Linked DNA regions of Arabidopsis thaliana. The protein of the gene in region 1 interacts with the protein of each later gene in a pairwise test. Each region holds a gene or a part of one and is shown on either strand. Other genes may lie near its edges. The genes, in order: AT4G25160, AT1G21790, WRKY59 and AT4G18340.

The links.
Region 2: the proteins of AT4G25160 (region 1) and AT1G21790 interact in a two-hybrid assay, tested with the Arabidopsis thaliana proteins (one large-scale study listed by BioGRID).
Region 3: the proteins of AT4G25160 (region 1) and WRKY59 interact in a two-hybrid assay, tested with the Arabidopsis thaliana proteins (one large-scale study listed by BioGRID).
Region 4: the proteins of AT4G25160 (region 1) and AT4G18340 interact in a two-hybrid assay, tested with the Arabidopsis thaliana proteins (one large-scale study listed by BioGRID).

Annotation. Positions count from the first base shown.
Region 1 is NC_003075.7:12,900,580-12,910,199, reverse strand, and holds AT4G25160 (U-box domain-containing protein kinase family protein), read left to right. Parts: upstream 1-2,603; 5' UTR 2,604-2,983; intron 2,984-3,497; 5' UTR 3,498-3,530; coding exon 3,531-3,729; intron 3,730-3,892; coding exon 3,893-4,014; intron 4,015-4,104; coding exon 4,105-4,226; intron 4,227-4,307; coding exon 4,308-4,486; intron 4,487-4,572; coding exon 4,573-4,988; intron 4,989-5,055; coding exon 5,056-5,157; intron 5,158-5,240; coding exon 5,241-5,669; intron 5,670-5,810; coding exon 5,811-6,569; intron 6,570-6,660; coding exon 6,661-6,840; 3' UTR 6,841-7,020; downstream 7,021-9,620. Other genes in the region: AT4G25170 (Uncharacterized conserved protein (UCP012943)), read right to left, coding at 51-460; AT4G25150 (HAD superfamily, subfamily IIIB acid phosphatase), read left to right, coding at 7,318-7,712, 7,908-8,117, 8,287-8,464; OLEO1 (oleosin 1), read right to left, coding at 8,941-9,109, 9,350-9,620. UniProt on the Arabidopsis thaliana protein: Functions as an E3 ubiquitin ligase.
Region 2 is NC_003070.9:7,651,103-7,658,261, reverse strand, and holds AT1G21790 (TRAM, LAG1 and CLN8 (TLC) lipid-sensing domain containing protein), read right to left. Parts: upstream 4,175-7,159; 5' UTR 3,906-4,174; coding exon 3,647-3,905; intron 3,370-3,646; coding exon 3,092-3,369; intron 2,901-3,091; coding exon 2,571-2,900; 3' UTR 2,281-2,570; downstream 1-2,280. Other genes in the region: AT1G21810 (filament-like protein (DUF869)), read left to right, coding at 1-1,211, 1,298-1,684; AT1G21780 (BTB/POZ domain-containing protein), read right to left, coding at 4,396-5,001, 5,093-5,208, 5,449-5,594, 5,674-5,786; AT1G21770 (Acyl-CoA N-acyltransferases (NAT) superfamily protein), read left to right, coding at 6,013-6,264, 6,336-6,419; FBP7 (F-box protein 7), read right to left, coding at 6,649-6,708, 6,798-7,008.
Region 3 is NC_003071.7:9,333,022-9,341,015, reverse strand, and holds WRKY59 (WRKY DNA-binding protein 59), read left to right. Parts: upstream 1-4,737; 5' UTR 4,738-4,793; coding exon 4,794-5,017; intron 5,018-5,118; coding exon 5,119-5,280; intron 5,281-6,644; coding exon 6,645-6,867; 3' UTR 6,868-7,172; downstream 7,173-7,994. UniProt on the Arabidopsis thaliana protein: Transcription factor. Interacts specifically with the W box (5'-(T)TGAC[CT]-3'), a frequently occurring elicitor-responsive cis-acting element.
Region 4 is NC_003075.7:10,128,597-10,136,131, reverse strand, and holds AT4G18340 (Glycosyl hydrolase superfamily protein), read left to right. Parts: upstream 1-3,939; 5' UTR 3,940-4,112; coding exon 4,113-4,185; intron 4,186-4,405; coding exon 4,406-4,742; intron 4,743-4,978; coding exon 4,979-5,687; coding exon of another isoform or gene 5,688-5,720; exon of another isoform or gene 5,721-5,812; coding exon 5,813-5,887; 3' UTR 5,888-6,082; downstream 6,083-7,535. Other genes in the region: AT4G18335 (uncharacterized protein), read right to left, coding at 6,769-7,263.

The DNA.
Region 1 (9,620 bases):
AGAATCACACATTTTCAAGTGAAATGAGAAAAGAGAAGAAATTAGATTACTGCTGGAGAGCAGAAACAGCATCTTGGACTTCATCAACAGAAGGAACAGAGCCAAACAGAGAATCATCTTCTTCCTCAGAAACCCACTCAAAATCATCATAACCTCCAGAATTAACAAAGGAAAAAGGACCGCCGCCGCTCCATCCGGAGGTTGCAGCCACCGGAAGATTCAACAACAACCCAGAAGCCGCGGAATACGTCAGATTATTCGACCCAGAAGAAGAAGATCTCTGTTTCTGGACATGCGAAACAGAGGCGTTTCCAGCCGGAGACGACGTGGACGATGATGATGAAGAAGCAAAGGGATCTTGAATACCACCGTTGGCTACACCGGTCCTCGTCATCGCACGACCGGCGGCGCGTAACATACCTCCGCCGCCACCCATAGGCCCTCTTCCTCCACCAAACATAGAGAGATCACTATCAAATTGTTTTTACTTACACGACAGGTTGCGTATGTTTACTCGGTGAGTTTGTCTTTTGGTCCGATGCTATTTCGTAGGCTTTTTACTTGAAGCAGTTTTGATTGAATCGAGGAAGTGGATAAATGCGAAATGTCTTTTATAGATTTTCAGGAATATATGACTTTCTTTACTTTGCTTTGGTCCTTCTTCTCCACGACACGCTTATCCGTTTACTCTGTTTTCTTTTTTTCCATTAAATGCATTAAAATACTACTCCACTGTTGTTATAATAATAATTGTTTCAATACTGGATTATATATCCCAAATTTATTTGGTACGTCAGCATATGAGTTTCCAAAAACGAAATAAAAACATAATAAAAAAAAAAGAGACTATGCTTTATTATAACTAAAGGTGTACATAGATCAAATCATAAAATTTCATATTCAATTTGGATAATTTGGATGTGGTTAAAAACCTAAAAGTCTAAAACCAGTACGTAATAGTAGTTTTCTTTTTTTCCGTGTAACATATGTATGGGTTTATATAAACCAAAACATATTTGTAGGTCTTTTTCATTTTGAGTTTCGGTAGCGTTTTCAATTGGATTTTATTTGAATTTTAATCCAAAATAATGGATTTTTATCATAGTTAGACAAAAATTTCACGGAATTTATGGGTAAATAGTTTTTCTTTTGTTCGTGAATGTCAACGAACATAGGCATTTTTAGTGTGGTCAAACTATGTTTAAGTTGATGTGTGTATGTATCTGACAGGTAAGTCTGTTGTTTTGCAAACATGTTTTCAATATCATTCTTTACCAAAAAATGATATTTTCATATTACAAAGCAGATTATTTTAGAGTAACTTTGTAAACTATTCAAAACAAATGTGTACACAAAGGTTACTTTTGCATTTAAACCTTTATGTAATTAATAAATCAAGTCATTTCAGCCATTAATAAATTAAGATATTTGTATCTAATTCAACATTGTAAATTATCATATTTAAAAGTTCTTCCACTATCAAATTTCATCATCGCCATATAATTAGAGTTTCTACACTCGATCATGTATTAAAAGAAGATCTTGACCACACACACAACAAAAGAAACAAATTGTAAGAAAATACCCATTTGCAAATTTCCTATTAATAAGTTATAAATAAATTATATGTCATTTGCTATTTACTAATGTCATTTATCCAGTTTTCATTGGACAAACTCTGCCTTTTTCGTCCATTTTTTTCTTAAAAAAAGATGGCCATTCATAGTAAAAAGAATATTATGTAGTGCAACACAATATTGATATATATTCTTATATTTTTGACAGAATTTGTTCTTTAGTTTTTGCATCAAACAAAACGAGAATGGAGAAAATAATCATTGATATATTGACCTGAACACTAGTCGTTTACATTCAGAATACACAATAGTAATACGAATACTAGACTCAAGAGCATGAAAACTCCAAAACCAATTTGAAAGTGGGAAGACATTTCGTACGGAAAAAAGGAGAATCAACATAAGAAAATAATAATAGATTTTAAGTTTATAGAGATATTAGATAATTGAAATTTGAAAATAATGTGTCCTGATCGAATATTTCATGATGAATGACTACAGGGGATGAAGATTTTAGCGTCGAGACAAGACAAGTTTAAAATTCGAGTTTTTTCCACCTTTTATCATCAATCATCAAGGAACAATGACATGCCAATTCGTTTTCCATAAGTAACTTTTAATGTTTTTAGCTTCTATAGATACTTTGAATGCTTTTATTCTAAAAGGTCTTTGTTGACAAGGTCAAAGAGCCTAATCGAATCCTCTTGATCAGCCAGAGAGTTTTGCCTTCGTCTTTGGATTTTGCCAAAATTGGTTACTTAATCAGCCAGAGGTTAAAACTCGTAAACCGGCGTTTAAATTGAACCGGCCAAATCACGGTTCAAATGCGAACCAATGTTGTAGGTGAACTCTACCAAAGTCTTGTACCACTCCACTATGCATAAAGGGGAGGAGACAAAAAGACGTGAGGAAGACATAGATCATGCGTGCAACTATGGCCAAACTCGATATAATAATGGCGTTGAGGAATGTAGTTAAATACCAAATAATTAGGGAATTAAGAGATAAACTATGATTAAACTAATAGTCAAGGCCTAAGGTTGGAGAAAACTTCTTTCTTTTAGAACACACTCTCCTTCTGTCACTCTGATAATGAAGAAAATTCAGGCGAGAGAACAAAAGAGTATATACCCAGGACTGATCCTCCTTTGACCATTAACATGACCAACTTGTCTCATTTTCTTATTATTTTTGATGCTTCTTTTCAAATCTTTTTTAGATTCTCTGGTTATAAGAACCCATTGTTTGTATCTGAGATTAGCAGCACCAACGTGGGTCTTCATCTTCTTCTTCTGCTGCTCTCTTTATTTTCTGAAATTGATTGCTCTGTGAAATGGAAGCTTCCACCATTTCTTCTCTCAATTTTTGTATTGGGTTTGACTAAAGTCGCATCCTTTATTTACCAGGTAGGTTCAATTTCTGGTTTTCTTGTTTAACTCTATGCCCTGAAGATGGTCCCTTTGATTGACTTGATCAATGTTTCATAACCTTTCGAATTCTCTGCAATTGCATTGTGCTCAAAGTTGACATTTTTATTGGAAAGTTTGAGTTTTTTTTTTTATCTTTATAAGAAGCTAGCTATTTGTTAGCTTCGATGGTCGTTGAGTGTTGTTGCTTTACGATCCTTTTGGTCGTCCAAATTAGACTCTGAGACATTTGACTTTCAACGCTATTAAGAGTATCTCATGATCGGTATACCTCCGTTAGATTCTGTCAATACTTATTATTATTTGCCTTTTCGGTTTGATGAGTTGATATTCAACATTCAGCTATGTGAGTTCAAATATAATTACTGTCTGTTGATTCCCACTGACTGGAGAGTTTTAGCTTTCCCTTTCTTTCATGTTATCTCTACTTTAGGAACAAAACACTCTTTTTAGAACATTGTTTTGCAGTGTCTGAAATGGTTGTAGTGTGCAGGGTCAATAGAAACAAGAACACAAAAGATTAACAATGAGTAGATCACCAGACAAGCTTGCTCTTCCTCCTCCTCCTCCTCCTCCCCCATCTCGTACCGTCGTTGTGGCTCTAAGTGGGAGCAGTAAAAGCAAATATGTAGTTACATGGGCGATCGAAAAATTTGCTACTGAAGGAAATGTTGGCTTCAAGCTGCTTCACATCCATCCAATGATTACTTCTGTACCTACACCAAGTAAAGTTCCAACTATGCCTTGTATTTCTGTTTCTTTCTTTCTTGTACTCAGGACTTCTTCCTGTGTTTCCCTTTTTTCTATTTGGTATTGTTGTGTAAAACAAAATCAAGACTTATTGTAACTGATAAAAAGCCTGATGTACATTTCTTGCTCCTTCTCAAGTGGGAAATGCAATCCCGATTTCCGAGGTACGAGATGATGTAGTAACTGCATATAGACAGGAAATACTGTGGCAGTCTGAAGAAATGCTTAAACCTTACACAAAACTGTTCGTGCGGAGAAAGGTATTTTCTTTGGTATAATGAGATATCTTACGCTCTTCTTTAATGAAAATTTCAAGGTTACATGAACTCATTGAATTACCTTAATGAAAGGTTGCAGTAGAAGTTCTTGTGATCGAATCAGATAATGTGGCAGCCGCAATAGCTGAAGAAGTGACTCGGGATTCAATAGACAGAATTGTCATTGGAGGCTCATCCCGTAGTTTTTTCTCAAGGTACACTACCACCCTGCTGCTAGCTTTCGACCTTTGTTCTTTCTATTCCGTGTACCAATGAATCTGTTTTGAAAATTCCAGGAAAGCTGATATTTGCTCGGTGATATCAGCTTTGATGCCAAACTTTTGTACAGTCTATGTTGTTTCAAAAGGTAAATTGTCATGCGTCCGACCATCAGACTCAGACGGAAATGCTACTATAAGAGAAGATGGTAGTGAGAGAACAAATTCTTCAAGCGGTTCTTCTGGTCCCACCTCAGGTCCATGACTCATCAATGTATTTGTGTGAATACTCTACTAGAAATGGTGTGTATATCTAATTCTGTTACCCCATTTTCTCTTCTAGATTCATCAGATGTAATGTCAAGTGCGCATGACTCTCAATCTCGTCCTCTATCCCTTCCGGTCAGGAGAATGCAACATTTCCCTGCAATTGCAGGACAGGCATCAGTTCCAATGGAAACGAGTTCTGTTGGCTCGGATGAAACCAGGTGCATGTCTTTGGATGCAGAGGAAGCTAGAGATGTTTCAAGTATCAATAGAAGCAGCACAGATACTACATCACGTTGGACTCCTCGGCGTAGAGATTATGAGGAGAGAAAAGAAGCTATGAGTTCTTCTTCGAGCAACCGTGAATACGGGAATTTTGGTACTAGGTTTAGTTGGAGTGGCATGGGTGTCGATACTACACACTCTCGGGCTTCTCAACAAGCTTCCAACATGTCTGATGCTCTAAGTGAACAATCCTATACAGACAACCAGGTATAAAATGGAGTTTTAATTTCGACATTGTCTTGTGAATCGGAATAATATAAGATTATTTGTTCAGGTAAACCTAAACTTTGAGGTTGAGAAGTTGAGAGCTGAGCTTAGACACGTTCAAGAAATGTATGCTGTGGCTCAAACCGAAACCTTTGATGCTTCTCGAAAGGTGAAGGCCTCATAATATCATATATCTTTGCATTTGATGAAACTTATTAAATTGTGCTCAATGCTTTTCTGAAAATGTTTCAGCTTGGTGAACTTAACCAACGTCGGTTAGAAGAAGCCATAAAGCTTGAAGAGCTAAAGCTGAAGGAGTATGAAGCTCGAGAGTTAGCAGAAAAGGAAAAGCAGAATTTTGAGAAGGCAAGGAGAGATGCAGAGAGCATGAGAGAAAGAGCAGAGAGAGAAATTGCGCAGAGAAGAGAAGCCGAAAGGAAATCCGCACGTGATACTAAAGAGAAAGAGAAGCTCGAGGGCACTCTCGGGTCTCCTCAGCTGCAATATCAGCACTTTGCTTGGGAAGAAATTATGGCTGCCACTTCATCATTCTCAGAAGAACTGAAGATCGGAATGGGAGCTTACGGAGCTGTTTACAAGTGTAATCTGCATCATACAACTGCAGTTGTCAAAGTTTTGCAGTCAGCTGAAAATCAACTTTCCAAACAATTCCAACAAGAGGTATGGAAGTGAGCTCAAATTTGGTTTAAGGAACTTTGTTTGAGATTTTGTGCCTTTCACTATATGGAAGTTTTCTGATTTTAATTTCAATTCTTGTGGATAAGAGTCTACATTTATCTCACTGGCCTCTCTAATTTGCAGCTCGAAATCTTGAGCAAGATTAGGCATCCACATTTGGTTCTCCTTCTAGGAGCGTGCCCGGAGCAAGGTGCTTTAGTTTATGAGTACATGGAAAACGGTAGCTTGGAGGACAGACTTTTCCAGGTCAACAACAGTCCGCCACTCCCGTGGTTTGAGCGGTTTAGGATTGCTTGGGAAGTTGCAGCGGCTCTTGTCTTCCTCCACAAATCAAAGCCTAAACCAATCATTCACCGTGATCTTAAACCTGCAAACATCTTACTTGATCACAACTTTGTCAGCAAAGTTGGAGACGTGGGACTCTCAACGATGGTTCAAGTCGATCCTCTATCAACTAAATTCACTATATACAAACAAACAAGCCCCGTGGGAACGTTATGCTATATTGATCCGGAATATCAGCGCACTGGAAGGATATCATCGAAATCAGATATCTACTCCTTTGGAATGATTCTTCTTCAGCTTCTCACAGCAAAACCTGCTATTGCATTGACACATTTCGTTGAGAGCGCAATGGATAGTAATGATGAGTTCCTTAAGATCTTAGATCAGAAAGCCGGTAACTGGCCGATTGAAGAAACCCGGGAATTGGCCGCATTAGCTTTGTGTTGTACAGAGCTACGCGGGAAAGATAGACCTGATTTGAAAGATCAGATTCTTCCAGCGCTCGAAAACCTAAAGAAAGTAGCTGAAAAGGCAAGGAACTCATTTTCCGGCGTATCGACACAGCCTCCCACTCATTTCATCTGCCCATTACTTAAGGTAAACTCTATATAAAACCTTGTTCAATGTTGAAACATCTCATCTCAGTGTGTTGTGGTGAAAATGTGTGAGCTTGTGTGGTATAATGCAGGACGTGATGAACGAGCCGTGCGTTGCAGCAGACGGATACACATACGACCGTCATGCGATAGAGGAGTGGCTTAAGGAGCACAACACATCGCCGATGACGGATTCACCGTTGCATAGCAAGAACCTTTTACCCAATTATACTCTTTACACAGCCATCATGGAATGGAGGTCTACACGATAGTAGTAAGCCAAACTGTGTAGCGTTTTTGTGGATATATAAACGGCAAGACGTTTTGCTTTGTACTACTACTACACACATGCTGAATCAAAAATATAAACCGAAACGAAACCTTAATCATCTTGTAAACGAATATTCGGATCCATCCGTTAATTTGCCTCCAAATAAGAACACAAAACCATTGCCCTTTATTTTTCATTTTGGTATTTTGGTCTTTTTTGTCTCTCTTCCTTTCCATTGCCCAAAAAGAAACAGAAACTTTTCTCCGAGAATCCTCATTTCTCCGTTGAAAAAAGGACCTTGAGAGGAAATGTTTCACTGTTTCTAGGGTTCTTATAATCCACTTCCTCATCATTAGAGAATGGAAAATCTCCTCTTCTCTTTGATATTTCTTCGGATTTCGCTTATGTCCTGAATCTCTTGAAGACCCAATTGAAAAAATCTCAACTTTTTTTCTCCCGGCGTTTCCGGCGATATACAATGCGGATTCTCGTGAATCTCATTCTCTTCTCCTTGATTCCTCTGGCGTTCTCCAATGAAAACTCCAGCTCGTATCTCATTGCGCGACCATTGATCTTCGAAACCCAGCTCAAGAACATAAACGACAATGTCAATCTACATTGCACGAGCTGGAGATTCGCGGCGGAGACAAACAATCTCGCTCCATGGAAAACCATTCCAGCTGAATGCGCCGATTACGTGAAAGATTACCTGATGGGTGAAGGTTACGTCGTCGATGTGGAGAGAGTCTCCGAAGAAGCTAAGGTTTACGCGAGCAGCTTCGAATCTAACGGTGACGGGAAAGACATTTGGATTTTCGATATTGATGAGACGTTATTGTCGAATCTTCCTTATTACATGGAACACGGTTGTGGGTAATTTATCTTAAATCTTTCATTTTACAACATTGCTATAAAAAGTTGGTTCCTTGATAATTGTATAGATGGATTTGTCTTTTTACTATGTCGAATTAGTTAAGATTTGAGGTATGTGTTGTTGTCTGTCTTTTTCTTTGCTTGTTTGTCTATGTATGATAAATGTGAATGTTTGTTCTGTTTGGGAATTTGCAGGTTGGAAGTTTTTGATCATTCAAAGTTTGATATGTGGGTAGAGAAAGGGATAGCACCTGCTATAGCACCAAGCTTGAAGCTTTACCAAAAGGTTATACATTTGGGGTACAAAGTTATCTTGCTTACAGGGCGTAGAGAGAACCACCGGGTTATCACTGTCGAAAACCTGCGCAATGCCGGTTTCCATAACTGGGACAAGCTTATTCTGAGGTATGCATACTCTACTTTTGGACCTCCATTACAATGTAGCTCATACAGTTTTTAACCAACTATTGATCTGGATCCATGGTTGTGGTAACATGACGTTGTTTGATCTTGGATTGTAATCTTGGGTTTGAATGGATGATTGACGCTTTGGTTTGCTGCTTAATGTTAATAGATCGTTGGATGATCGGAACAAAACAGCGACCATGTACAAGTCAGAGAAGAGAGAGGAGATGGTGAAAGAAGGGTATAGGATCAGAGGCAATTCAGGTGACCAATGGAGTGATTTGTTGGGTTCTGCAATGTCAGAAAGATCCTTCAAACTTCCAAATCCAATGTATTATATCCCCTGAAGGGGATCAACTAGAATCAGGAGGCAATTCAGGTTACTAAATGGAGCAACCTACTGTTTTTGAAGTTTGGGTTGCCATGTAATCACTTGCAATAAATATATGTACTAATGACTGCATCGGCTTGCGTGTCTAAATTTGTAGCTTATTGAAAACTTTTTGTGGTTAAAGACGAATCCAGTTAACTAACATAAGTTTAACAAAACAAGACCTTTTCCATATATAGACCACCGTTACCAACTTACAAAGAAGCCAAATAAAGTACAACACAACACTTGCAAGTTACAAAAAGAGAGGAAAAAAAACATGGTACCATTTGACAACATATAGAAACACACATAAACATTACTTATAACAAAAAGATTCAAACTCGGCTTTTATTATCTCCCCCTGATCAAATTCTAAACACTTTATTCCTCATAAACTAACTCCCCGACATTGGAGTTATTGGACTATGACGATGACATCAGTGGGGTAACTTAAGTAGTGTGCTGGCCACCACGAGTACGGTCACGGTCATGTTCCCCACCAGTATGTTGCTGTCCGTAGTACTGAGCTCTGTCTTTCAGATCCTGAGCTTTGCTTCCCAACTTCATCCTTGCACTGTCCAACTTGTCTGATCCCTGTGGGTGCTCTCCCGTTGCGTACCTATTCACAATCAATAGGTATCATACCAAGCATTTTACCTATATAGATGATATACACAGACACATTCAAGCTAGCTAGGTCAAATTTCGTATTTAGTTAACCAAATGTTCCCTAGAATTTGCAATTTCTTATTGTTACATTTGTTATTCGACCAAAAAAATTGATCCAAAGCTACTGGCTCAACACATGCATGCACATATTGCACAAAATTATGAAGTAAGATGATAAATGTGTGCTTACTTGTAAATCCAAGAGAAAACGGTTATAGCGGCAATGCCAAACCCTCCAGAGGAAAGAAAACCGGTGATGAGGAGTGCAACTGTGATGAGAGCCGGGACAAGGATTGGGCTGAAGATAACGAGCAGAGGTGTTGCAACAGTCAAAGCTATGACAGTTCCAACAAGGGTAAGGCTGGAGAGAACAAGGAGGGAACCACCAGCTGTGACAGCAGTTGCAGCTTTAGCAATCTGCCTAGACTTGGAGTAGTCAGATCCTCGTCCGGACATCTGGT
Region 2 (7,159 bases), on another chromosome or scaffold:
TGCATTCTGCTAACACTGGTCTAGAGAAGCGAGTTCTTGAGCTCCAGAAAGAAGCAGAAGCTGCTAAATCTGAAAACATGATGCTGAGACGCGAGTTTCTTACACAGCGTGAAGACCTTGAGATTGTGATGATTGAGAGGGACTTGAGCACTCAAGCAGCAGAAACTGCTAGTAAGCAGCATTTAGACATCATAAAGAAGTTGGCGAAACTCGAAGCTGAGTGCAGGAAGCTTAGGATTTTGGCTAAAACATCATCATCGCTATCATCTAATCAATCTGTGGATAGTCATTCAGATGGAGGAAGGGAGAGAGTTGAGGGGAGTTGCTCTGATTCATGGGCATCATCAGCATTTATTTCTGAGTTAGATCAAATCAAGAATGAAAAAGGCGGCAATAGAAGTCTTCAGGGCACTACTTCATCAACTGAAATTGATCTCATGGATGATTTCCTTGAGATGGAACGTCTTGTGGCTCTTCCTACTGAGACACAGGCTAAAAACTCCAAGGATGGATATGAATTGAGCTTAATGGAGAAGTTGGAGAAGATACAAGCAGAAAAGGATGATCTTGAAAGAGAAGTTAAATGTTGTAGAGAAGCGGAAAAGAGATTGAGCTTAGAGATTGAAGCAGTTGTTGGTGACAAAATGGAGTTGGAAGATATGTTAAAGAGGGTGGAAGCTGAGAAAGCTGAGCTAAAGACATCTTTTGACGTGCTCAAAGATAAATATCAAGAGTCAAGAGTTTGTTTTCAAGAAGTTGACACAAAGTTGGAGAAGCTACAAGCAGAAAAGGATGAGCTTGACAGTGAAGTTATTTGTTGTAAAGAAGCAGAGAAGAGATTCAGCTTAGAACTCGAAGCTGTAGTTGGTGACAAAATTGAGATGGAAGATGAGTTGGAGAAGATGGAAGCTGAGAAAGCTGAGCTAAAGATATCTTTTGACGTAATTAAAGATCAATATCAAGAATCTAGAGTTTGTTTTCAAGAAGTTGAGATGAAGTTGGAAGCGATGAAAAGGGAGCTTAAACTAGCTAATGAATCGAAAACACAAGCCGAATCTCGGGTGACCAGAATGGAAGCAGAGGTGAGAAAGGAGAGGATTGTCTCTGATGGGCTAAAGGAAAAGTGTGAGACATTTGAAGAAGAGCTTAGAAGAGAGATAGAAGAGAAGACAATGATCAAGAGAGAAAAAGTGGAACCAAAGATCAAACAGGTATAGCTTTTTATTTTTCTGATCACCAATTAGTCTTTTTTTCTTTTTCTTAATCCTTGTTTCACTAAAAGCTGATTCTATTGCAGGAAGACATAGCAACAGCTGCAGGAAAATTTGCAGATTGTCAGAAAACAATAGCATCACTTGGGAAACAGCTACAATCTCTTGCAACACTAGAAGAATTCTTGATCGATACAGCTAGCATTCCAGGTTCTGCAAGGTCAGTTCACAACAAGGAAGCTTTGTTAGGAAAAGATCCTCATGAGTGCATCAAAACAATCAATGGAAGATCACTTGAGTTTCTTGCAATCCAGAACAGCAATAACAAGACCTCACCTCCTTGTTCATCTTCTTCGGACTCAACAACAGTGTCATTAATTATGTCATCAAACCGAGGGAGTTCTGAGAAGAATCGCAACGGATTTGCCACGGTTTTCACTCGAAGTAGAAACTCAGTAAATTTGGGGATTTAGGAGAAGCAATAGGTTCGTTCTTGGAGTATAGCTAGAATCAATCTGTTGTTAAGCTGGATTTCTTACCATAATTTTCAGATTCTGACTTGTTAGTAGCAAAAAGATCACCCTTGTTTCTTTTGCTACATAGTGTAATCTTCTTAACGTTTATGTCTTGTGAGATTCATCTTTGTTATTTCACTGTCACCAGTTTGATGGTCTCATATGATGCATTGTCACCAAGTAAAATATTGATTTTTGTTTTGTTTGGTTAGATAAAGACAAAGAAAACTGCAATCTGTGGTGCTGCTGAACTGCTGATGTTGAATCTATTCATTGGTCGTGTCTAAAATACAATATTTTGGATTAGATTCTAAACTGGTACATGCAACAGAACAAGCACCTGAGGTTCTATGGTGTAGTGGTTAGCACTCTGGACTTTGAATCCAGCGACCTGGGTTCGACTCCCGGTAGGACCTCTCATGCTCTTGCATTTTTTTTTCTTCCAAACATTGGTGGAAACTGAACCGGACCAAACTTCATCAACTCAACACTAAACAAACTTTCCTAATAGATTGAAAAGATTATACCAAAATTTAACTGAATAAACCAAAGTTCATTAAGATTAACTTTTATATAATGATTATGATATATAAATCACAACCAAAGATCAAACCAAAATTCTAATTTGGTTCCGTTTCCCCAAACACAAGAAGAAAAAAAGTCTGTTGACTGTAATCATCAAGAAATAACATTTACATGTAGTTTTCCTATAGAGAGATACATACAAATCTGAAAGCTATTAGAACTTAGTAGCAAAGCCTCAGATATAAACAAGAGATGAGTGGGTAGTATTCATACAACAACAAACCATAGATTCGGTAATGGATTGCCTCTAAATTAGCTATTATTCTCCATGGTCGTGAAGGTTGCCGTTCTCTTGGTTTCTTCTGTGGCTTCTCTCTCTTCTGAAAGCATGAAACAGATCCAACCCGAGGCCAACATTAAGAATGTTCATTCCTGCCATACCAGACAGAGCGAGTGGTAACTCCACGCCTTTCCCAAACTTGTGTGCGTCTTTGATCAGCTTGATAGTGATGAGAATGTGAGGAATGCATCTCGCAAACACAAAGGCTGTCCAGTTTAATACCCACTCCAGTTTCACCAATGCTGTGTTGCTGTCTCGGATTCCTGCCATTCTCCTTAGCTTCCTCACGTGTAGAAAGATCGAATGCATCTGTTTACACATCCGAATAACAGAGGTGTCACTTTTGTTCGAACAAGTAGATGTTGTAGAGTTGAGTCTATATCTAACTAGATTGTTATATATGAAACTAGTCTAGTTTAACTAGAGAATGTTAGCATAGATTCGGTAAAGAACAGAGAAAAGCCAGGGCAAGTTTTCAGGAAGAAAAAAGTGGAACGTACCTCACAGATGAGAGTAAGAATAAGGTAGTTGATGGTTACATTTCGGTATAGTGCCAATGTGAAGCAAACAAGGAGGACTAGATGGTGAACAAGAATAGAAGGTATTAAGCCGCTGTATAACCGGTACTGAAGCATATCCCACTGGTCATATGCAAAGTAGCCGCATGAGAAACACAAAGCTGGATATGCCCATTTCCAAGTCCCACCAACCAACTCAGAATGATCAAACATCTCGTCTAAACCTTTGGCTAAGCATTGATTGAGAAGTATGAAAACCACTGTAGTAACACAAGAGCAGTGTTGAAGATGAAAAATCATAATCAGTAAGGCTTAACGAAGAAAGAACTGCATTATACTCAAGCTATGGCAATCAATCATAAGACTAATCCAATCGGAAATAAGAATCACATTAAGCAATGAAACCGTGAAAACACAGCACCAAAGGAAAATTGACTAATACCAACGACCAATGTGCACACCTATGATAAAATTTCCCCACTAACAGAGCACAATCCTATAGTAAGAACTCAAATATAAGAGAAGAGAGAAAGGGACCTGATGCGGAGGTGATGATTGAGTGCAAAAGCGAGACAGAGGTATTAACAAATATAGGGTCACGAGAAATCCATGAACGAACAACCCAATTCATCAATTGAAAGAAGCATCCACCGCAAATCACCCAGAGAAGCTCCGTCCGGAGATTGAAAGCAATCTCAAACACGACGGAGACAAGCCAAAGAAGCAGCGTCGCTAAGAAAAACTGCCCAGCCCCATTCTTCTTCCCTCCTGAACTCCCAATCCCGTTCCTCGCCATCGAAACCTCACTGTCTCTCTCGGAGATTGCTTGAGAATCCGGCAAAGTTAACCCTAAATTGGATTCTTAGCTCAAACTTCGATATCCATTTCCAATTTTGGCGGAAGAGACGATACAAATGCCTTCACGTTATAAGCTTTACTTTGGGACGCAACGGACACGTGTCGGTCGATACTTCATCCTCCTGATGCTGACTCATCTAATTAAAACAAAAAACGTACGATTTCAACATCGACAAAATTATCATATTTTGTGCCGACATTCGATGTCGACAGTCATTAGGCCTAGTCACAGCCCATTTGAAAGGCTCGGCCCATTTGAGAGGCTCGGTACACCAAACTAGAGGCAAATCCACTCAATACTATACATTAGACAGAGTGATACAACAAAATCCAGAGTTGTTGTTAGTTACACACACAGAAGAGAACAAGAAGACTATAAACAAAACACCATCAAGCTGAAATGTTCAAAGTATGTGTGTAAGTGTATATTAGACCGGTTTCCACACAGACAAAACCTCTTGAAACATCTCCAGCATCAGTTCTCGATCAGCTTGCCTGAAGAAACTGCTGATTTCTTCTCTGACATCATAAATCTTTCCGAAATCAAACAAATACATCAAACACCCTTTCTTCAGTTTCTCCAGCTGATAAAGCCAAGCTTCTTGTAGCCTCTCGAGCACATTACTCGAGTTTATATCTTCCATTAGGCTCTCCTCGCAGGCTGCTTTCAAATCCGTTATGTCGTACTTGTTTGCAGCGCCGAGGAGGGCGAGCCTGTGTTTCCAGAACTCTTCTTGGGTTATGTTTCCGTAGAGGTAACTTAGTAGAGCCATGCAAGATTCTCTCGACATGTCGTCTATGTGGATTGTGGATGATTCCTTTTCCATGAGGTCGTGGTGGAACATGCTTTTGAAAACAGTTGAGCTAGCTGAGAGGATAGCTTTGTGAGCAGAGAGTGTTCCATCGGCTGTGTGGATGATTACATCGGTTAGTATGCTTTCCTCTAGCATCCGGGATAAGCATTTGAGAGTGGTTTGAGTAGAGATTGATTGCATTGTTGCATCGGTTGGCCAAACAGGAGAAGCTTCACCACCCTGGATTATGATTTGATTTGATCAACCATGGAAGTACAAATGTTACAAAGAGAAGAAATTGTGAGAGTATAAATAGAATCATTAAGCTTACATTCACAGGGCAGATTTTGAGATCAAGAAACTCAACATCAATGGTGAATCGACCGTGGAAACTGGAGTCAACATGCCACACACAATCATCAGTTGTACGCAGCAGCTTCTCATAAACTGCACCAAATAAACAGAGTATCTCAGCTTAAACAAACCTAATTCAGTTGTAACCATCCCATAAGGTACTACTAATCATCAGCCAATCATTAACATCTAAATTAATATCTTTCAGATTCCACATAATTGAATATAGTTCCCACATAAAAGGTAATTCCCTTTCCTGAAATACCTAATTCGAGCTCGACAATAGAATTCAAATTCCAAATCCAGAAAAGTCAATTCAAAGACAAGACATACCAGGAGAGATGTAGAATCTACGATTGGGGCCAACGTTGGAGACACGAAGAACAAATTTGGCAACAGGAGGTTGCTCTTTAGATACTCGAGAAAGTTCTGGGAATAGCCTCACTGATAGATAGCGATTCCTCTCTATAGACAGATGCCTTCATCATATCCCAAAACAAACAAAAATCAAAATTCCGAAGAAAATTTACCAAAATAAACCAAAAATGAAAAGCTTACCAATTCCAAATTCCGACTTTGAAAGGATCGGACTTTTTGAAAGAACAAGGACCAAAATTTTCAATTCTCCATTGAGCTAACCTCGAGATTGTCTCTACCTTCGTGTCCCCCATCCACTTTCTCTCTGAAGTTTTGACTTCCTTTTCTCTCTGAACTCTTTACTTCACGCCAAATAACACGACGAAGCAAGCAAAACACTCTGCCGCCTCCATCGCCTGCCACGTGTACGACGATTATACGTTTTTATCCATTAAACCGGTTTACTAACGATATATTAAAATCAATTCTCGGTTTGAAATGAAAGAGAGTGGACTTAGACTTAGAGAGATAACAGATAAAATGGCGACGGGGACGGCGACGGAGAAACCGAAGATCGTGTGGAACGAAGGAAGACATAGATTCGAGACTGATGATCACGAAGCCTTCATAGAGTACAAGATGAAGAATGACGGTAAAGTCATGGATCTGGTTCGAACCTTCGTACCGCCGTCAAAAGCAGGACTTGGTTTAGCTTCGCATCTATGCGTCGCCGCTTTCGAACACGCCTCTGAACACTCTTTCTCCATCATCCCCACTTGCTCCTACGTTTCCGTATACATCTCTTCTTTCCTCAAAAAATTGAGATGAATCAGATTCTTATGAAAATATGTCGTGTTTTGCAGGAAACGTTTCTTCATCGAAACCCAACGTGGCAGCGTCTGGTTCACTCAGAGGATGATTCCAAGAACCTCAAGTCTAGCATCTGATCAAGTCCTGCTTTAAAGCCTTTTGGTGTATAATAAAAACTTGAAAACATTATCTTACAATAGTAAAGCTTGTTTCAAGTAATCTCTGTAAACAAACAAAAATCCCAAAATGTATGTTTTTCACAATTCGACAGCAACAAACAAACACTAATGTTTGTCGTAACAATAAATATAACGTGAAAACATTATTCTATGATACATTTTTGTACAGAAACTTCGATGTGTCTCTTTAGCCAGTGACATAGTAATCCATTTTCTCCGGTGGCAAGTTCAGAACCGATTCGTCAACCTAATAACATCAAGGAAGATATTCAGATCAAATCAATGTAACTAAGATTATAGGTGGGAAGAGTATACAATAATTTATAGTTTACTTACCTCTTCGAAAGGAACGAAGACGAATGCAGTCATACCCCTCTTGTGTGAGACGGCAGGTATATCCGGGTTGTGAGTTTCATCGTCTTCCCAACCTTCAACTAACCCAAGAATGTCTTCTTCTGTGCTGCTTATTTCCTCATCGTTCACACCACTTGTCACAAGTGACAGCAAATCCATCCTGTTATTCGCTCCAATAGCTGTTCCTCTTAACCTAACCACACCCGAAAACATATCCACACCAAGAAGATCAAAATGACTATCAGCTACTAAAAATTTCAACCCCATCACATTCACCGGATCAGATAAGTCTTAGATGAATGTACTAGACACGGTACTTTAAAAGATAAGTAACAGGCCTTCTT
Region 3 (7,994 bases), on another chromosome or scaffold:
GAAACAGTTGTTGTCTCACTTTATGTAAACCACTAGTTTGAATATAGTAACTCAGCTTTTACACTTCTACAATTTTCTTATCAACAACATGAAATATGCCAATTTGAATTCGAATAGTAACACATATCTGATCTAATACCATGCACTAGCACAAATCAATCATCTAGTATCGTATTTAGATTTTATTCACTTACCAATTATTTCCTTTTATTTAAGTTCTTCTCCCCCTCACCCCATTGGACTTTAATATTAGTAATAAAGAAACTTGTTATAGAAGACGCCTTCAATTGGTTGATTCTTGTCCTTATCTAATGAGTTGACCCCTCGAAATTTTATGGTCAAGGACATGCTTTTGCCACATCTCATTGACTCGTATATTAGAGCTTCTCAAATTTTAACAATTCGATTTTTGAGAACGCAAATAGTGAATCTAATGAATGACTCATGGATGACGTTAGCTTATAACTGTTGCTAAATTTTTTATTAGTAATACAAGGGTGCACACTCATCATTCAATCAGCCAATCACAATTTTCCAAAATTCAGTCAAACCAAGTTGTTTGTCCTAGGAATAAAGTATATTTGGGAAATTTGATTGCATTGGTTTCCAGTTATGATATAAAAAAATCAAACAGAGTCTAAAATATATCTTAAAAAGTGAAATTTTCGGGTTTGGTCTTGTCAACCATATTAACCGAGTTATTTCTTTGGCAAATGAGTCAACATGACTAAGTCAAACATGGGAGACCGGCTACATGACTAAGTCAAAAATGAAAAACATTGGCCATATCTCTAAACTATGGTCTTTGCCTTTTCATTATGATAAGTGCATGCTTAAACTTATGATAAGTGCCTGTCATTACATTTTTTTGTGTAGGATTACAATTTTCCTTGAATTAGTTTTATTTAATCAAAAAATGTATGTATTTCCAAATAGTTGTTTTCGATTTTTAACCACATGTTATATATAAGCACATATATAAACAATATTTTGCTCTTGTGCTTTGTTTGTTTTGTTATTGTTTCTATCATATACAAATGTGCTATGTACGTATATTATATACACTACTTGAAAATTGTTCTCTAATAATATAGTTTACCAAGATTGGAAATCAGAAGACTTTTTACAGGTCTATCCATCCCTACGATTCAGAAGCAAGAACATCAGAAACATTCTAAAGATTGAAATCTCTTTTTTCATGTTGGTTCCATCTCCAAAAGCCTAGTTCATAGTAGGAACTCTGACAGCCAAGAACCTTTAGTCCAATAATAAAAGAGTAAAGAAAATATGTATACGTAGAATATTTATTCTAGTGTTATATATCGCACTAAAAATAAAAAAATAAAAAATCTAGAGAGCTAATTTAGTGAGACATGACAATATTATAAGATATTATTCCATAATTTTTTTAAAGTAGTAATTTTAGGGACTCTTGTAGAACTATTATTATAAAAAAAAAATATTTGAATATAATATTATTAAAGTTAATCTTATTTTTAAACTAAAAAATCAAAAGTTACATAATTATCCTAAAAATTCTATTTTGTGGTAGCAGGAGTTGCGCCGATAACTTTTAAACATTGTTCCTCTATTACAGGAGGAAAAAAAGGAATGAATGGAACTTTTGATATGCAATTGGCTTTAGTTTTCAAAAATGTTTTGCAACAAACAAGACCAATGTTACCGAACTTGGCAGTAAATTTCGATTGAGAAATTTCTGCAATGTATCATGGAATATCCATTACAGATGATCAATATTTAGTTATATCCGTTAATTCTGACATATTAGGAATTGTCTGAAATGGAAATAGATAAGGAAAAGGAGCTAGAAACTACGGTAATTGGGCATTTTTTAGGTTCTCTTTTTTTGCTAGGTCGGGGATTAGAGAGATTGGGTTCCGATTTTTTTAGGAATCGGTTCATGCCGGGAGAAGTGTTGCAGGTTCAGATTTGTTCAGGGGTTCGATTTAGCGACTGGAACCGTTTATTTTGATCAATGAGTTCGGATCCACCGTCGTAGCTGTAAAGTAGTGCTTCTTGTAATCACTGGTATTAATGGATGTGTATTCTTGTTTTCCAATCAACCTCCAATATGATCTCGTGTTCCCGATTTTATCAGTTCATTCCTTTTTATTTTGTAACCGTGATATTGTTGTAAGGACTTGGACCTATTACCCATTAAAATGATTTTAATTAACTAAAAAACAAAATTTTGTTTTAAAAGTTTCACGTATTCTATAAATGGAGATTTTTCATGTATATTTCACGTTCTGAGCTTTTTCACCAGAAACTAGTAGTAGAAACTCTATAAAAAGATAGAATGTCGAATAATATTATAGAACCATAGTTAGTACCTTGATCATGAGTTAATTAGTTTTTAGCCAGAGGTTTGAGTACTTCTAAGTCTTCAACAAAGAAAAAAGACAAATCTTTTCCGTCGTAAATTTCTCGTGCAAGACGCAAAACCCCAAGTTTCCACGTGGAAACCACAAGCTTCGTCGACCAAACCGGTGCTTCACCACGCGCCTAACAACGACAAAAACTGTATTAACACTTTAAATTAATCAAATCTCCACGGCAAAATGGCTCACGGAAAATGACGTAAGCATGCTGGCGTATTTTCACTGACGTCATGTGCCTTCGACCTTGAGGTTGTGCAGTAACTAGCAATAAGATACACTTACAACATGCAATAAGATATTAATAGTTCATGTAGCAACTATTACGTCTCGCTATTGGTTGCTCAAATTTTAAATCTAAAGTTTCTATTATCAATTTTCTATGCTGGTAACAAAAGGTGCTTTTTCCTACATAGTTACAGAAAAAGTCGCACTTTACATGAATCATAATGATGGCTTTTAATCGGCATATTCCAGAATTCTTTTGTTAAAAGATGATATAATTAACCACTGGCAAAAAAATATAAGAAAATCATTAGTGATGGTAACAATTTCGCCATCTGAGAATTGCTTTTGAGAAAATTAGTTCAGTTGCCTTTTAAAAATGCATTTTACCGCAAAGCCGTCTAGTGTTTCCCGAATTTGAATAATTATTTAATATCTCTTTAAAATGTGATAGGTGTTTATTTATTATATATTGATTTTGGCAACGCATGCAGAGGTTGGTGTTTGACCATAATTATTTAAAATGTCCGACAACTTGCCCTATAAGGCTATTTGTATTAGAATTAAAAACAACAATGGAACTACTTGTACAATAAGTTTAAGATCCGTAAAGGATAGAATCTGAGCTATTAGATATCTTTTAAATTGTTTTAAATAATTTTTGTCTCTTTTTGGTTAGGCCAAAGTTAAAAAGAAAAACTGATGAGACGTGGTGCCAAAGTGACTTTGGTTGGCTAATACAATGCAGCCTAAAATTAGACGTAGTTTTATGTCCGTTGATCCATACTTGTTTAGGTCCAGAAAACATAATTCTAAGAAAACTGTCACCTACGAAATTCCAAAAACATTTGCTGATCAGTTTGATACATGTCCTTGAGTATTCAGGGTGCCTTAATTCGTTTGTATTAATATCGTCTCATCACAATTTCGATGTTCTTTTTAAATGGTGGTTCTTCTGTCAATTACAAATCGAATGGCACTCTACAATCGACAGTATTTTTTTAACTTACTTGCATCAAAGTCAGTCTCTAATACCGTATGAACTTTAATAATTTTGAACGCAAAACAAATTGGTTATGAGTGAATTGGTACTTGATATATTTCCTATACATTACTTTAGGTTCTTTTTAACTTTTTTTTGTGTTGTAAACATTATTTTTTAATTTTCGACGTGATATCTTAACACGTACTATTACTAAAGAAATGATGATGGTTATAATCGATCAATTTTAAACCGGCATTTAACTTAGGTCATCCTACTTGGATTAACAAACTGAGTTTTATTATCATTTATGAAGTTCACGGGTTCTAACTCAAAAATTAATAAAAAAATACTAGATTTTCCTTAAATATTACTTTAAATTTTTCCTAACTTTGTGAAATCATAATACAATCCCAAGTTGATAGCGCTCTTATCAGCTAATGTCGAATAAAATCCCACTCTAAGATCAACAATTAATAAAATATCCCTCCTTGAACCATTCTATTTAGATCAAACTCGGCTCTATACCATGTTTATTTTCATGAACTTATAACCCAAAACCAATTACAAATACTTGTATTGGTTCATATCTCATATGTGTCTTCTTTCTTACCTTAGATATGGAATTTCTAATATATTCATACATAAGTTAGAAGCATGTTAACGAGACCTAGGTTTTCTGACCCACCATCATCTGTTGGTTCGTTTGCTAGCTACATCATTTCGAAATCTAGCTTTGATTAAAAGTGATTAATTAGTGTAATATGATTATATATGAAGGGACCAGTGATGTTACATGCATTTTTTACTCGAGGATTTGATTGGACAACGCTTCAAAACTTTTTTATAAAACCTTAAAGTTGTTAAAAAGTAAAATTTCCCACTTTTATGGGTACTTTATTTTTAACTTAAATAAATGATAATTAATAAAGAAAAATCACTTGTCGCTATAGCTATTCTATTGGAGAAGCTTCGTTGAATCTACGCACGAAAGTAGCCATGAAAGTTATTTTATTACTTAATTAAAAGCAAATAGACTTTTATTTTATTTTATTAATTCTATCATTATTTTTCTTAGATTTTGTAGTATAAATAAACAGTATTACTCTAACAATATCTGTCCCTCCTCTTAGCTTCAACCGCCGGAAAAACTAAACAACCTTCTTGGAAAAAAAGAGAAACTAAAAATGAACTATCCTTCAAACCCTAACCCTAGCTCCACAGATTTCACTGAATTTTTCAAGTTCGATGATTTTGACGATACTTTTGAGAAGATCATGGAAGAAATCGGCCGTGAGGACCACTCGTCGTCACCGACTTTGAGTTGGAGTTCATCGGAAAAGTTAGTGGCTGCAGAAATCACAAGCCCGCTTCAAACAAGCCTAGCTACCTCACCTATGAGCTTTGAAATGTAAGTCAACTTTTATATCATACATCTTAGCAAAAATTTAGTTGTTGATGAAAATTATATATTAGAACAGTGATATTTATCAAAAATAATGATTTATATAGAGGTGACAAAGATGAAATCAAAAAGAGGAAGAGACACAAAGAAGATCCGATTATTCACGTCTTCAAAACGAAATCATCAATTGATGAAAAGGTTGCTTTAGATGATGGGTATAAATGGAGGAAATACGGAAAGAAGCCGATAACGGGTAGTCCATTTCCAAGGTAAATCATTAATTCTAACTTCGTAGAGGACGTATAATACCTTTATTCGGTTATCATACTTGGATTTAAAGTTTATTCAACAGCTTGGATTATTGTAGTTGCATATGCTACAGGTTGTGTTGATTTGAGTATTGGATTGAATGTTTCCACTTGATGAATTTAGAAAGAATGCATCTCTTAAAGCGTAGAATAGTTAAATGTCAAATGGACAACTTGATACAACTAATATATAGTCGAGGCTGTCAAGTTTTACAAGTTAACTACCGATATTTTTGCATTAAGCTTATCGGTTAGTTAAATAAAAGACAGACAAAGCCTTACATCGATGTAAGATAAAACCAAAGTCTTGTACATGATATATAATATTCACATTTATTCATTGCAGAAATCATATATATAGTTATTAATAATTTCACTTTTAAAATTTGGTGTTAATTTCTGTCTACAAAATACTATTACATAGAAATGAGATTTTTATTATTATTTATGCTCTAAATTAATAAGAAGAGCATTCCTTTAAGAGTTTCGACTAATAAGTTGAACATAATTTTGTATACTAAAACCTAATTCACACAAAGTCACAAACTATAAATGTGTATTTAGTTTATAATACTCCTTCCATATTTTATCACCAATGTTTTAGGGAAATTATTTTGTCACAAATTAGATGATGTTTTCAAATTTTAATGCAAAATTAGTTACTGTAATTTATTTGATTGGCACTTACAAATTCTATTCTACAAATTATTTTATCATTAGTGAAATCATGTTTAGCTAACTAATAAATAATATTTAAGTTTAGAAATAAATAAAATTAAATAGAAAAATCTGAAAAATTAACTATAAAAATGCAGAGGAATATACAAACTAGTTTTTTTTATATAGTATAAAGTATAAACTAGTTAATGTTCCCTCTTCGGAGATTTTTGTCCAAATGCAATTTTCTATTTGTATGTTTGTGTCCAACATGCATATATTTACTATCACTTAGTTTTACGTATATTTCCATGTGGAACATGTGCCCCAAATACATCTATTGAATAGAAACTAATTAATTGTCAAGAATCAACAAGGGTTATTTAACTTTTTAGTTTTTCTTTGTGTGTGTGTATATTGTCCACTTCCCACAAGTTGTAATATAATCTTATAACAATAACACTTGAGAATATCATAATTGAGTTATTTGTTGTATCATGTATGCTACCTTTGATTTCAAGTGGATACATAAACGACGTTATTGTTTTTGTTATCCTAACAATTATTGGACCACACTATATATAATAATCAAACTGTTACATTACAAATCTTGTAGAATCTCTTAAGAGTTTTACTAAATTATTGGTGCTCATCATTATTTGGAACAGGCATTATCACAAGTGTTCGAGCCCAGATTGCAACGTGAAGAAGAAGATCGAAAGAGATACGAACAATCCAGATTACATATTGACAACATACGAAGGTAGACATAACCACCCAAGCCCTTCTGTAGTTTATTGTGATTCAGACGACTTTGATCTTAACTCTCTCAACAATTGGTCCTTTCAGACGGCAAATACGTATAGTTTCTCTCATTCTGCTCCATATTGATCGATCGTAGTTACAAGTTTGTGTATATAGATGTATATATATATATCACCAATTCACCATCGTAATCACGTCTCACATGTAACTACGTACATATATCTTGTTCGGGGTTCGTTTTGTAATGTATTGAATTGGTGGAGGTAGAATGGAAGTCATCTTGTATAGTTGTACTTGTATGTAAGGTTTGATAGTCATTTTTTATAAAGTAACTAATTTGTACATGAGTCTCTTTTATCGCCCTTTGTATATGTTGAGCTTTAGAGGATCGGTGTAGATTTCTGTGCATATTGTACCTAAGAGCATCCACATTGGTGACCCTCTTACAAATGTCTTTACTATAATTTATTATAAAAATTAATGTTATTTTCATTTTTAGTCATTTAGACCATCTTCATCGCATATAAAAGCAAGGGTCTTTACATTAAAAAATAAATAAAAAAGAGAAAACAGTAGAGAGTTGTGTCTCGGCAGAGACACAATAGAACCTAAAGACACCTTATGTGTCACTATATTATTGGTAAGTGATTTTTTTCTTATTTGTTTATTTAAAAAGTCGCTCTATTTATTGTCAATCTTGTTCTCTCTCTTAAAATAAAGACATCCATTAAAAGATGTGCTATGTGGATGCTCTTATTAGCTAAGTGTGGTGTCTTTAAGAGTATAAAAATGTTTCTGCAAAGACATGGAGGACACGGGTCTCCCTAGATGACATCTACACCTATATATTGGCGCATTTGCGACATTAATTCGTGGTTGAGTTTAGCAGGATCAAAAAATTTTCTCTCTTAATTTGTCTTATATTATATATCTTAAAAATGGTAAGGCTTATGTATAACTGTCTTATGAAATTTCTTATAATTAGATGGGCTTTTACTCGTATATAAGATAAACCTAAAGGTAGGCAAGACTCAACGGAGGAGGACTAATGGAGTGTTGAAACGCACTTTACGAGCTCAAGTCATGCACCAACGAAATCGTTCTCTTCTTCCTCAACGGTGAAACAACCGTCGAGGTCATCACCACCGATTGTTGGCCTGCGATGCTCACGTCTCTAGGATTTACCTCTGATGAAACCAACGTTCTTCGTGGTTTCTGTCAATCTCCAAATTCCGGTGGTTCTTCTCCGGCGC
Region 4 (7,535 bases), 2.8 Mb from region 1:
GGTACTGTGAAATAAAGCTGTATAATTTATAATCTTTTAACAACTGAACAACGATGTATGACTAGACTACACGTTGGATTTATCATTTTAGACTCGTCTCCGTTTTTTTATTTGTCATTGTAATAGGGTAAGTAATAATCATTGAATATGTGTCTAATTTGTTTAAATACAATTCTCTGATACATGCAAAACTAAAATTCTAGAATCGAAAATGCCTAAAAGCTCATGACATCAGACAAGTTGACAAAACAAAATACAACTAAAACCAACGATAAGCTGTCCCCTAATAATATAAAAATTTGAACTTTCAATATAAATTTCTAAAATATTACGTGTCTTATCCTTTAATGTCGCACCCAAATTTACATACTTTTTATAAAATATTTCGAAATTCTCATTTTCTTGTCGTTAACCAAAAAAGATGGAGTAAAAAGAGAAACATACACATAGATTTAAGGCCCTTTTTACGTATGCGCGTCATAAATGAAAAACACTTTGATTAGTATAAGAACATTTAAATTTTAACTACTATAAAGAAAAAAAAAGCACACGTAAAAGCTTTTAGCCATGCATGCACGATGTTTACTGGTTATCGAGAAAGCATTATCGTTGTTGGATAAGACATTAACTTTCCTCTCCTATATGATCATAAAGCTTGTTTTTCTTCTTCATAAATCTTGCCGCTTAATCCTTATCCATTATCCACCAAAAATTCAATTTTGTAGGCAGCTTTATGAAATAATGCTTTACACCATTTTGACTCGATTATAAGTATTATATATATCCACTATTCGAAATGGCCCACGATATCTGTATTTTAATATGACGTCAAATATCTTATTTTGTCTAATGAATCCAAACTAAGTACAGTATGTGAATCTTGGTAATATATGTATATAGAGTTCAGTTCAAATATAAAATACAAGTGTATGACGTCAAAAAGAATTTTTAGATACGTTATAGGCTCATTATTTAACTATATGTTCACTTTGGTGCAGCTTAGTATCTTTTATGCAGATATAATTTGAATTTTTGATCTGGTGAACTATATATTGTTAAGTAAAAAAAAAAACATGTCGGTCCAACCCAACCTAGACCTGTCAAGCATGTTTAATGATGGTTTGGCCTGATCCATTTGTTAAACAGTAGGTAAAATTTGCAATCTTTTTTTTTTTTTGTTTTTTTTTGATTTTGCAATCTTCTCCCTTATCTACACTGTTCTCTTTAAGAAACCCGCTATAACACTTCCCGAATCATTCATGCGGGAGAATTCAAAGGTACCTTAATATTACCACCTTCAAACCAATTCGCACATGGTCCAAGTTGGAAATGGTTAACCAATTTAGTTACCTATCACTATCAAATTCCCACAGTTGGGTGTGATGCATCATACATTTGCAAATGTCCAACATGGAAATCCGAATCAAGTAAACCCTATATATACTCTATTTTTCATGCGTTAAAAGGGTTAAACCCTTTCTTTGAAGAAACTTAACCTTTGTTCAAAAACATTGATATCGTTGAGTACTTGTGTTGCTTTAAAAAGCTTTCATGTCATTTTATTTGCATATTCGATATTGTAAATAAATTGCAGATTAAATGGCATATTCTTTCAATCCGAGCTAAAACAAAATCATTCTCTTTTTCTGTCTGCTGTTTCAAACTTGCTGGACAATTATATGATCTTTCTGATTTGGACATTAAAATATCCACAGATAACGTAAACTTGAAATATTCTGCAACCAAAAATATGTCCATTCAGTAAATAATTAACAAACTAGATCATATTCATGAAGAACTAAACCAGAATCATTAAATTTAAACATTAGAAATAAATTAAAACTTGTGTCATATACTCGATAATAAATCAAATTATCTTTAACTTTACACATATAGGCCTATATAAAACAATCTGTTCGGCCGTGTATGGTATATAGTTACGTCATTATCAAATTAATCTATATGGAACTGCCATAAGTCGACCGGTGGTCAATCCTAAGCCACGAAATCAAACTTTTAAACGACGAACTAAAAGTTTTCAGCCAACTATAAACAGGCCACTCTGAATAATTGACTGATTTTGACTCCTTTCCACATATTTAATTCCAACATCGAACGATTACATTTTTAATTGCAACAAGTTCAATAGCTTGAGACGGGTATATTTCTTATAAGTTGTATACATGTGTTCAAATAAAATGGCTCTTGGTGTCGTGAAAAAGAGAGAAGATTTAATATTATAGAATCGAAAAGAAGACACTAGGGTATTTTGGATTAGATCAATACAGCCAAAAGTTCCACTTTAAATTAATGTAATTTTCTGGCTAGCCAACCTTTCGAGAAAACGAATTGACTATCGTCTACGTGATCAAGTTTAACCCTTTATATTTTACCATTTAAAAATATAGTAAGTAGAAATTAATTGATTAACAAATCAATAGCCAACCAAGCGAAAGCACTTACTATTTCTTAAATAAGTTTTGTTGGGGTTTATTATGTCAGGTGATTAAAAAACAACCGATGGTTGAAATTGACCGACGGCTCCAAGTGTGTGACACTGCCCCGCCAACTTGTCTAATTCCCCTCGAAAGCATATTAGCAACATTATCCCAATTGACCATTTTATTTTACTTTTGTTATGCTAATGCTTTTAGTTATTTGTCAATTTATACATTATCATATTTGTCTTGTTTTATTTTACAAGTGCCTCAAAATTAAGCATGATCCTTTTGTCTAAAGGAAAGTAAGTATATCCCTTCTCTATCATCTTAATCCGAATAACAATATATTTGAGATTTTTTCTTGACAATTAATGGCAAATTATATTACGACTTATATATCTTTCACGAATACAATTTTGGATATCCCGTTCTTGATAACTTTCGAGGACTTGTATGAATTTCCGTCCAAAAGCCTCGGATTACAAAAAGAAAATAAATATGTGATATATGTTTATTTGTATGTATTATATTTCCCGGGAGATTTGAAAATATTAAACTTTAAAGGAGAAACGGAGGAGGCTTCCTCAGTGTACTATTGAATCCTTTGACACGTCAAGTCAAATCGGATCTCCAATTAGCTTTTGTCTAAAGAAATATAGTAAGGTTTGTTTGTCATATTAATTAGGCTAGGATACACTTGCGGTCAAGATTCATGCGAAAATGTAATCATTATTCTTCGAATTTGAATTAGCATTAAATTAATCATAATTAACACGTGATTAGTAAAATCAATGATTCAGATAAATTAGATAATAATATTAATAGTAGTAAAAGTTAATAAGAAAAATAAAGACCATTTTTGTGGGACTAATAACCCATTATAAAATTTCTTTTGTCATGAAGTTTTAGCTGAAAATTTGATATTTTACCTTTCATGATTATTCTACAAGACATGATTATCTATTAAAATTTCATTGTGTTAATATTAATTTTTATACCACGTCTTTTTCTCCATGATTATCGTAGAATAAACTTTTGGTGTATAGTACAAGTTTGTTTTAAGTCACGACTCACCTACTTAATTGAAACGAATATTTTAATATTTTCCGGTGCTTTATGAAACTTCTTCAATATTCTATACACGTCCACTTATGTGTATCCCAATCTCTTCTTAATTTAATAACATTGCTCACTTTTTTTACCAACCCAACAGTTAACACCACTTGTATAGTACATGTAATTAAACGAAACACACAAACAACGTATTTCCTTCCATACATGTGCATGCAAATTGTCTTGTCATAGAGTCTGCATTAATCTAGCTATATGATAAATAACTACATACAAATATTTTAAAACCTAATAATTTTCTTTAATAAGAAATCCTTCGTTGTGGTTTATAGAAAGCCGTCAGTGGATAAAAAAGGCATAAATGAGAAAAGCAATATAGGGAGGCAAAGCTAAACAATTTAAAAACACTTTTTTTAAAAAACATAAACTTCAACACTAAACCTTTTCACAACAAAAAACACGGAAAAAAAACAAACAAGCGAAGAAAAGTATTCTTCACCTTGGTTGGCTTATTGTGTATGTCTATAAATATTCCATTAAACACTTCTCTTAAAACCCAAAACCTTCACAATCTCTTTCCCTCCCTCTCTCTTCCTCAACATGACATCAAGAACATTCACAAGACATTCCAGTCTCATTCATGTTTTTCTCCTGCTTTCTCTCGTTTTCTCAGGTTATTTTCTTTTTCATTCTGAAATTTTAAAACCAAATTCTTAACACTTAAGTTATGCTTTACGTTGCCGCCTTAAAACCTCAACGTGTAAGATTTTAACATAGTGAAATAACGGATCGATAATAAGTCTAGAATTCATTTTTTCAATGTTTGTTTAATGGAATATTAAAGATTTTTGGCATTGTTTTCTAAAAGTTCGATTCTTTGTTTGGAAATATAGGGAATATACTACAAACAGTAACGTCTCTTGGCATCAATTACGGACAAGTTGGGAACAATTTGCCTTCACCGGATAAAGTCATTAACCTCTTGAGATCTTTAAGGATCACAAAAACAAGAATTTACGACACTAACCCTCAAATCCTTAGTGCCTTTGCAAATTCAAACATCGAGATCATCGTCACCATCGAAAATCAGGTTTTACCATTACTACAAGATCCTCAACAAGCTACCCAATGGGTAGATTCTCACATTAAACCCTATGTTCCGGCCACTAGGATTACCGGAATTATGGTCGGAAACGAGCTTTTCACCGACGACGACTCTAGTTTAATAGGGTAAGTACTAATCGTTGAATATTAGTCTAATTTGTTACATGATCACAGAATTAGTTTTTTTTCATTAACTGATTTCACATTTTCTTGACTACCACTTGGTCAAATGTAACGAACTCCTTCGAAAAAAATATTATATTTATTAAACTCCACTTTGAATTTCAATAAGAAATGAGTGTAATAGTTTTTGTCCAATAATTGCTAATTTTGACTATATTCTCTCCTCTTTTTGGTAATAGATACATGATGCCGGCGATAATCAACATCCACAAAGCCTTGGTCCAATTAGGTTTAGATAGATACATTCAAGTCTCGTCTCCAAGCTCTCTTGCCGTCCTCGGTGAATCTTATCCTCCATCTGCCGGAAGTTTCAAGCCGGAGGTTTCCTCCGTGATGCAACAACTTCTAGATTTCTTGGAAGCCACGAAATCTCCTTTTTGGATAAATGCTTACCCTTACTTTGCCTACAAAGATAACCCACAAGAAATCCCAGTCGATTACGTTCTATTCAACCGTAACATCGGCATGACCGATCCCAACACAAGACTACACTACGACAACATGATGTATGCTCAAGTTGACGCAGTTGCTTTCGCGGCTGCGAAACTAGGGTACCGTAACATAGAAGTTAGGGTTGCGGAAACAGGGTGGCCTTCAAAAGGAGATGTCGGAGAGATTGGAGCGTCTCCTGTGAATGCTGCCACGTATAACCGGAATCTTATGATGAGGCAATTCGCCGGAGAAGGAACTCCAGCGAGACGGAATGCAAGACTCGATGTTTATATATTTGCGTTGTTCAATGAAGATATGAAACCAGGTCCTACTTCGGAGAAAAACTACGGTATATTCCAACCAGATGGATCATTAGCTTACAATTTGGGATTCTCTACAATGTCGACAACGACGGCAAATTCAGAATCTGTCACTTATTCATCCTCTGCCACTAAGGTACGATTAGTATTATGTGGTGAATTTTGTTAGAATTTGGAATTATTGGGGCCACGACGAGAATAAGTTTGTGAAAGGACTAGATGTGCAAAATGAATTAATTCTCTGTTTTCTTCTTCTTTCAGGCAAAGAGGAGCTTGGAGTATTGGACAATTTTGATATTGGCGATGGTTCAAGTTGTAATGTTGAGACTATTTTAGAGGAAAAGTTATTGACAATATAATAACGCGATTGTTTAGGATATTTATGTAAACAATTTAATTATAAGCTTGATAAATATAATTTATATTCAATTCAACATTCAAATGAAGTCGGTCAATAGTGAAAATTCTAAATTTATTGTTGTCGTTAACAAGTAATTGACATATATAATAAAGAAACAAAGTTTACTTTTTAAGAAAAACTTGTCGTATATGAAAAGGTTTGAGTAAGTAGTAACTTTGACCAAAAGGCATATAATCGATAACCAGTAGCGGTTTAGAATCAACCATATATTTTTTTCCCTCTAATTCAAGAAATATGGCATAGCTTAATTCATTTGTATATGTTGTTGGATATTTTAAATACAATCCCTAGCTAGTTATATAATATAGATATTAGAATGCAAACATATGCATTGGAGTGGACGGTACGAAGAATTGGAACTGAAGCTAAGAAAAAAAAGCCATGAAACAAGAGCTTATGCTCACGATGCAAATTCACATGCTCATTTCCAATTATATCGGCTCAATATACTCCCTTGTTCTTGCCACAAACGATGCGTTTTGACCTTGAAAACATAGACACATATGCTTTTTTCTCTCCATATATTATTTTACCGATCAGTCAAGTTTAGTTTTATAGAATAAAATAATTCAGCTGCACGTAAGGAAAAATAAGTACTTTCTGAAAAATCAAAGGACACGAACAATCAAACATTAGTATGCAAATTATTTTCATACACTTGACCGTCAAAAATGCACTGATCAATGCACCGGTCATTCCGAACAAAAAAGAAAAAAAAATCTTTAAAAGATGAAAAATACAAAAGTGCGACGAGAGGAACAAAATCGTTTCACGTACGACGTATCGGCAACGATATCTAGGGTTGTGTAGAAAGATCGCAAAAGAGAGTAGTAGCGGAATTAGGGTTCTGGTTATGGCATGGAGATGAACCGGAAGGAGGTACGAATCCTTTGGGAAGCATAACCGAGAAAGTATCCTGTCGAACCGGACGGTTTAAACCGTTATTCTTCTTGGCCATCATCTTGAAGTAGCCAGCACGATGATGAAGACCACGGCGATGACGAAGAGTATGTCGATAGTAGTAGTAGTATTGGTGATTGTAACGACGACGACGGTGGTTGTCTCGTTGCAACCGCTGGTTCAAGATAAACGGTGTCGTTTTCTTGATGTAGACGAGTTGGTGCGGTGATTCGTAACCGTTGAGATAAGCTTCCGTTTTTTGTGTTGATGATACTCTTGTTTCTTGATTCGAAGATGATGATGATGGTGAGATGAGGAAGACGAGAGTGAGAATAAGAGAGACGATGAAGCTTTTTAGAAGACTCTGTTTCATCAAAACCAAATCTTCCATTGGGATTGAAAGAGAGTATAGGGTTTTGGCTGAGAGTAAGAGAGAGCGTAAAGATGAAACAAAAGCTCAGAACGAGGAGGGAATTAGAATTATATAATTCCTAATTAGTGATAAGTAATATCATTAATGAAATTATGAATTTGTTTTTTAAATTTTCGTCAATGTTGTGTTAAATATGAATATAGTTTTATATTGTAGTCGAAAGAAAGTGATTAAACATACAAAGGCACATGTTAATTATTTTTGAATGCAAACAATATAAAAAACTCATC